2 linked regions of the Macaca mulatta genome follow. The protein of the gene in region 2 interacts with the protein of the main gene of each other region in a biochemical or structural test. Links are inferred from orthologs where the notes say so. Each region holds a gene or a part of one and is shown on either strand. Other genes may lie near its edges. The genes, in order: GNAO1 and RGS4.

Region 1 (3,815 bases), on a different chromosome or scaffold from region 2:
CTCTGTGTGTCCCTCCCGCTGTCTGTCCTCTCTCCTCCCTTCCTGCGGCCGCAGAACCGCATGCACGAGTCTCTCATGCTCTTCGACTCCATCTGTAACAACAAGTTCTTCATCGATACCTCCATCATTCTCTTCCTCAACAAGAAAGATCTATTTGGCGAGAAGATCAAGAAGTCGCCTTTGACCATCTGCTTTCCTGAATACACAGGTGGGTGCCAGGCAGTCCTGTGCAGGGGGAAGCCTGCCCCTGACAGGGACCCATGGCTCAGAGAACAGGCTGCTCGGCCAGCACTGCTGGGGCTAGCTGGCGAGCGGGACCCATTGCAGGAGTCTGGTGGGGCGCAAAAGAAAAACAGCGCTGTGCCACCAGGTTTGGGCTTCCCAGGACACAGCCCTCAGCGTGGTGAGAGTGGCCCCTCCTAAGATATATGTGGTAGGACCCAGTCACTCAGGAGTGACATTGTGGGGAGCAGGGGGCAGGACGGGATCACAGGCTTCCCCCTTCCTTCTGGTCACCCTCTAGGAGAGATCTCAGGATAGCCTCCTGTAATCTCAGCAGTGGCCTCCCCTCACCCCTGCCCAGGGCCACACAGCACCTTTGCATGAAACCAAAAGGTGGACACATGGCTTGTGAGCAGGGTGTGGGCTGCCTCTTGGCCCCACCTGCTTTCTCTGCTCCCTGTTTCGGTGCCCAGAACATGCTTCATCTCTGTGCAGCCGCCCAGCCAGACCACTCCACCCGCCCCACATCGTGCCCGCCTTCCTTCCCCAACCCCAGCCCCGTGCCCGCCTTCCCTCCCCAACCCCAGCCCCGTGCCCGCCTTCCCTCCCAACCCCAGCCCCGTGCCCGCCTTCCCTCCCAACCCCAGCCCCGTGCCCGCCTTCCCTCCCCAACCCCAGCCCCGTCGCACCTCCTCTCTCCCCTTCTTCCTCCGCCCCTGGTCTTTGCCCCAAATCCAACCACTCCAGCTATCTGCAAGCCTCCTCCATCCTTGCCTCAGTTTCTTCTGACTTCTCTGGGGCTTTCTTCTTGCTCTCAGGGGAATGTATCACAGACCTCCCCACCCCCCTAAATGAAGCTCTTTCCAAATGGATGATGAGGGAGGGTGGCTTCTGTGGGATGGGCCAGCTCTGGGCTGCTGCTAATGCCTAAAAGCAGCGTTGATGGGATGCCAGAGCCCAGCCCTGGTCCCTCTAGGGGCTGGGAAGCTTCCAGAGGTCCCTGGGGTAGGAGTCGCCTTTGCAGGCTGCAGAGTATGGAGGGCCAGCACCCTGCCATGGAGCAGGAGGTGTCTTGTCATCCGCCAGGTCAGGGCACAGGTTGGCTCGGCCAAGAACCCATGTTCTGACAGCCCCGGAGTAAGACTTTGGGCTCAGTCCCAGGGCCACATGGGTCCCCAAGCCCAGCCACAGGGCGCCACATCCAGCATAGGTCGATGCCCGTCTCCCCACCCTTCCCCACAGCTGGGAGCAGTGTGTGAAGAAGGGCTGTCAGCTGGTTCTGAGCACAAACCATGTCCTCACTGACAGTCCATGCTGATGTGAATTTGCAAGGTGGTTCTTGCTCTTCCCAAGGTGCAGAGTGGGAGGTGGGGCCAGGAACTATGCACTGCGCTCAAGGCTCTCGAACAAAGAAAGACCCAATAGGGCAGGCAGCCCAGGTGGCCTCTGCAGCCAGACCACCTGCAGCTCAGCAAGTTGCTCAGTCACCTGTGCCTCATTCTAATCTGGTCAACACAATGGATAATCATGCCCAGCCCAAGGGTGACTAGAGGCACAGCTACTTGGTGCCAGGTCTACAGAAGCGCTGGCTGTGGCTGCCATTGGTATTATTCAGAGGATGGAAACTAGGGGAGGGGGAACTGGCCATGGAGAAGGTGCCCTCTGCAGGATGGAGTGAGGGCAGGAGGCACAAGACAAGCCCCGAAAGGCCAGCCCCAGGTGGCCCTTAGGCAGAGCCAGGCTGTAGCCCACTCTGGGCAGCCACTGCTGACCTCTCCTGGCCACAACAATGGAGTCCAGCAGGCCCCCGCCGGCCAGGGCTACCCTCAGAGACAGGCCCAACCCTATGGCTCTTTCTTGTCCAGTGTCCCACTGGGGCCCGACTTGGGAGTGGCCATTCTCACTGCTGTGGAGTGCAGTGATGCTGTGGAGTGAAGCACTAGATGCCCCCGCAAAGGGCAGTCGGAACCTGGGAAACATGAGTTCTCCAGGGCCTTCAGAGGGATCCAGTTTGAATTCAGATATCATGGATGACAGATGGTCACCAGTGCAGTGGCCCCATGGAGCACAAGCCTGTGAGGGCACAAAACAAGCAGCACGGGTGGGATGGGAGGTGACGTGTGGGCCACCGTGGCCGGGTGGCAGCAGGGCTGTGTGAGTATGCTGGGCTCGGCAGACACAGGGAAGGCACAAGGCACTCCTCCCACCTGGACGGCTGTATGTGGCCACCTTCCACCCTGGGCTGTGCCCGGTTCGGCTCTCTCCAGACAGGAAGCTCCTGGGCAGGGTCCACACGGGCTGCTTTGTCCAATCTTTAACAGCTGTGCTGGGCTGGGCATCTCTGCACCAGCGAATCAAGGATGAGGCTTGGCCCTGTGGGTCCAGGCACTCCTACTGGGCTGCCCAGAGCTGGTCTCTGCCGTGATAACCCACCCAAGGATGCCCCCACCTCCTGCCCCTTGCCCCTTGTACACCCAAGGAATTGGTGGGGACAGAGGGCCCCCAGTTGGCACATACATGCTGATGTCCCCTTAAACTTCCCACCTTGGGGACATCGATGCCCCCATGTCCTGGCCACTCGCTCAAGAACCACGACTACTACTGATATGCTGCCAGCCCTGCCGAGTGGCCTCTTAAAGGAAACCAATGAGGAAGGAGCACAGGTCCCGGGTAGGCCCCTCTCCAGACTTTGTTTTCCTGGTTTATTGGAATCAGCAGGATTGGTTTAGACCATGGGGCGGTGCCTCAATTTGCTCATCTAGGAAGCAAAAGGGATCATCTGTGGCCACTGCTCTCCCAGGCGGGCTCCCGGGTGGATTTTGGTGTGAAAACAGTAAGGGATCTTGCAAAGTCCAAAGCCGGGCAAATGCTCGCCTGTGTGTGGTTGGTGCAAAAGTAATTGCAGTTTTGCTATGAAAAGTAATGGCAAGGCCGAGCGTGGTGGCTCACGTCTGTAATCCCAGCACTTTGGGAGGCCGAGACAGGTGGATCACCTGAGGTCAGGAGTTTGAGACCAACCTGGCCAACATGGTGAAACCTCGTCTCTACTAAAAATACAAATATTAGCTGGGCGTGGTGGCAGGCACCTGTAGTCCCAGCTACTCGGGAGGCTGAGGCAGGAGAATCACTTGAACCTAGGAGACAGAGGTTGCAGTGAGCTGAGATAGCGCCATTGCACTCCACCCTGGGCAGTAAGAGCAAAACTTCGTCTGAAAAAAAAACTGTTATTTAATTTAAAATGCAACTACGGCTTGGAACTGCCCAGCAGTTCTTCCTGCTGCCTTCCTCTCATCCCACTTCCTGGGACACGCCACAACCCACTTCTTGTCTTCACGTCCCCAGCCCTGTCCACCCACAGTGCTCACCAGGGCCTCTCCCTGTTCTGTGTCTTGTTACAGGCCCCAATACCTATGAAGATGCAGCCGCCTACATCCAAGCACAATTTGAAAGCAAAAACCGCTCACCCAACAAAGAAATATATTGTCACATGACTTGTGCCACAGACACGAATAATATCCAGGTGGTGTTCGACGCCGTCACCGACATCATCATTGCCAACAACCTCCGGGGCTGCGGCTTGTACTGACCTCTTG
Region 2 (3,915 bases):
ATCAGTAAACCTTTTCGGGTCCTCACTTATGTTCCTAAAATCAATCTGTTTGAGTGATCACTCTTTTAGGTGTCCATGTAAACAAAGAAGGCTGTGGTCTTTCTTTGAGTGACCTTCTTTCCCTTTTAATTAGTGTGTCCTCTTTAATGTCAGTTCCAACTGATTCCTCTCCCTGGTCCATCTTCCTTGGTCTAAGGGCCTCCCTAATTTCACATTGCACTGCAGTTCCTTCCACACCACCATCAAGAATGGCTGTCAACATTCACTTGTTCTATGTTATAATTCAAGGAAGAGTTGCCCAGTATCTACTCTAATAAATGTCTTTCTATCTTTATGGGCGGCTAGAGGCTTTTTCCTATAATTTAAATGCATCTTCGGTAGATTATGGTCCCTCCACCACCTTACATTTGTCTGCTGTCTCCTTGCTCTGCTAGTCATGGAAGGTGTTGGTAGTGGGAGCAGTGTGGGATGTTCAAGGGCACGTATTGGGTCGGGCCATGTATGGGCATTGCTTTGTGACATTCTTTCTATATTTTTGGTATTTTGCATTTCACTGGAACCTAACTATTTTTCATCTCTTCCACCTAAACCATTTGATGCCTCTGTTTCTTAAATATAAAGTACAGCTCACTGTAGCCTATGATCAGGAACCTATCTGCTCTCAAAATGAAAGCTGTTTTGGTCAGATCTAGCAATTAATTCTCTTCTTCCACTTATAGCTTTCCTCTGTAACTCTGGTGTAGGTATTTGATATATGGCTATAAGATGTGAAACACCTGAATGATTCTCTCCATGCAGGCGTTTCAGTTTATGATATTGTACGTAAAAGATACTAATTGTTCAGGTGTTCAGAAACACCTATAGGGCTTAATATTCTTAACGATTCGTTTTAAGGCTGGTGATACGCAAAGCAAACTACGTATTTTTCTGCCTGCTCTGTCTCTTTCTCTCTACATCCCTCTTTCTTTATCTTTTGAAATATCAGTTTGGAGACTTAGAATTACATAAGACATAAACCCATTTGATATAAGAATTGCTGTGTATATTTGCTCACCTACTCCCTCCTTTGGTCCTCAAGCTGCTGGTTTAGACTTTTTACAGGACACAGGCATGTAAAGGAGAAACTGTCAGTGCTAGGCTGAATTCTGTTGTTACCAAGATTTCTAGAAAAGTATTCCTCAGTCAGGTTGATTACGGATATAGCAAATCTATTTTTCCTAGGGTAGTTTCTCTATGCAGCCGGGCTTATAACTGTCTGTCATCCAGCTATTTCTCTCCACCTTCTTGTTTGCATAACAACCAAGGCAACTTCTGCAAATCACTGCGTGGAGACGATGATCCTGCCAGCTCCCTTTTGGAAATCGTGAGGATCAGATCTGGGACCATGTATCATATGATGCTTCTAATCCAAAAGAGGAAGGGCACTGGGAGTCAGCTCCTAAGTAAGCTTCAGAATTCCTGCTGGTACTTTTCCTTCCAGGAAGCAACTTTCCTTGATATTGTTTTTTACAGAAATATGAATGAATACTATATTTTGCAGCATTGTACACTTTTTTCCTTTTCTAGAAATTCTAAACCTCTGACACTGGTAGAGACATTGAGTACATTTTTTTCCATATCCCTACTTTGCTGAAGGATTTTCTCTGCTCGTTCACTTAGCATTGCTGATGCGTCAGTCTTTTCCTCCTCATCTCTTTCAGGGGCTGGAGAGGCAGAGGGAGACAGAGGAGCTGGTACTGCAGAGCTGTCGTCTGATTGGCTGGACCGTCGTAGCTGGGCTATAAAAGAGACCCCTACAGGCTTAGGAGGAAGACGCTCAGAGGATTCTGAAAATATCTTTACCGGAGAAGAGGCAAAGTACGCTCAAAGCCGAAGCCACAGCTCCTCCTGCCGCATTTCTTTCCTGCTTGCGAATCCCAAGCTGTTAAATAAGATGTGCAAAGGGCTTGCAGGTCTGCCGGCTTCTTGCTTAAGGAGGTAAGATTGCTTTCAGTCATTAACCGTATTAAACTTTTGGATAGACTTTCTCAGTTATTTACATGTTGTACTTACTAACCTAGTTCTGTGCAATTAGAAACAGTGTGGTCAGGAGAGCACGACTTTCTAACTTTCCTCCAAGACTAGCTAGATACTGTGACTTAAGACATGTGCTCCCCAAATTTCAGTCCTTATGTATTGTTTCATGTGACCTCAGTTTTGAGAACTGTTCTTTAAGCCAGGTCTAAGCAAGCTAGTTTTAATTAAGAAGTGAGATGAGGCTTGAGGCTATGTATAGTGGTCTGCAATATCTCCATCTGTGATTACTGCTGTTATTTAAGCATCCCTGGAGTACATAGAAGCCTGGGTCTGGGTTTTCTGATTGTATGCTACATCTTGTTTCAGGAAAGGTACCCCAGAATGAGGTTTGGCTCCATCATCAGAAAGGCACTATGCTTTCTGTGTAGTGCTGCAGTATCTTTCACTCTCTATGTTCTTATAAGCAAATGTTACAATAAGATATGAGTTCCAAAGCCAGATCTTCCTTATCTCTCTGCCCCATCTCTAGTTCTTAAAGTGTCTTATATGAGTGTGGTTGAGAAGTATTGATCATTACAAATCAGTTAACAGTTTTGTAGATCTCACCTTAAAGATATTGTTTTGTTAATATACTCTCTTGATTTTTTAAAAAGACTTTACAGACATACAGCTATTCATTTGTTTTTCGTTTGTTCAAAAAAGGTATAAACAAATGCATTCAGAGAATGATCGTATAGTAGTCAGTTGAAAATTAAACACAAAATGAGTGCATATTACATTACTTAATCTTGCAGTTAAAGGTAAAAAGTCAATCTAAAGGTATACTACCTGCTTTCTTATCGCGCTGCAAATAGAAATTACCCCAAATTTTATTTTGGAAATAGTCTCAGAAAACATAATTTTTTATGTACTATTAAAACATTTACTTTTCAAATATTCTGTCATTCAGGAGTATGGAAGTATCTATGGCTTCTTTAAAATGAAGCAGGAGGGTCTGGCAGAGAGTATCTATGAAATAAGTTCCTCTGACCTTCACGCTTAATTTTCTGAATGGAGTGGAGCAAATTACTTCAAGCTTCAGTTAACTTACATATGAAATGAACTATACAAAAATACAAGAGTGTCAGGAGAAAGTTATGTCCTGGTAAATATTTTGCAAAACAGATAAAAGTTAATACTAGAGCTCTGTCCTCAAAGAGTTAAGCAGCTAATCTAAGGAGGTAAACTCTATGTCAGCAGAATGAACTGCCCTTCCCTTTCCTCACCAGTAAATTGCAAATCGTCTAGTCCAACATCTTTGCCACCAGTGCCTGAGGCTCCACAGGAGCCATCGCCTGCTCAAGGTCACATAGGTTGGTGGGTGAATTAGGACCAAATCTAGATTTCCTGACTCCAATAACTTCTGAAGTCATTTTGGTTTTTATTTTTATGTTTTTTTTTTTTTTAAATAAGAATACTTGCTAAGCACACTTAGCCCCTGCATTGATCAACAACTCTCAGATCTCAGGTGGATCCAGCACATAGAAATATGAATTCATTTCTATTTGGACTTCATGATATACTTATATTATCACCTTGGAATCACCCTAACATTCAGGATTATATCCTGTTATCATCAAAAAAGATGTTGCATCCCCTGAGCAGTCATCAGTCAGGGAAGCAGAGGAAGGAAAGTAATCTTGCAAGGAAGAGAAAATACTATTTAAGGGGCAGTCAGAGAACATAATGGAATTCAAACTTTCTGGGAAAACCTACATACATAAATGTATTAGGGGCTATGTTAAATGTCTTTCTGTCTTTGAGGCTTTATTTTCCCCACTCCAAATAGACACATTTAGTTATTCATTTCTCTTAAAATGGTATTTCTATTTTTAAATTATTTCTTGGCCTTTTTAATAA

What was found.
Region 1: the proteins of RGS4 (region 2) and GNAO1 form a complex in vitro, tested with the Homo sapiens proteins (2 studies listed by BioGRID). The link is inferred for Macaca mulatta from reciprocal best matches to the Homo sapiens genes RGS4 and GNAO1.

What each region holds. Positions count from the first base shown.
Region 1 is NC_133425.1:51,914,913-51,918,727, forward strand, and holds part of GNAO1 (guanine nucleotide-binding protein G(o) subunit alpha), read left to right. Parts: intron 1-54; coding exon 55-208; intron 209-3,620; coding exon 3,621-3,808; 3' UTR 3,809-3,815. UniProt on the Homo sapiens protein: Guanine nucleotide-binding proteins (G proteins) function as transducers downstream of G protein-coupled receptors (GPCRs) in numerous signaling cascades.
Region 2 is NC_133406.1:20,800,355-20,804,269, forward strand, and holds the start of RGS4 (regulator of G-protein signaling 4), read left to right. Parts: upstream 1-1,320; 5' UTR 1,321-1,384; coding exon 1,385-1,442; intron 1,443-1,700; coding exon 1,701-1,977; intron 1,978-3,915. UniProt on the Homo sapiens protein: Inhibits signal transduction by increasing the GTPase activity of G protein alpha subunits thereby driving them into their inactive GDP-bound form. Activity on G(z)-alpha is inhibited by phosphorylation of the G-protein.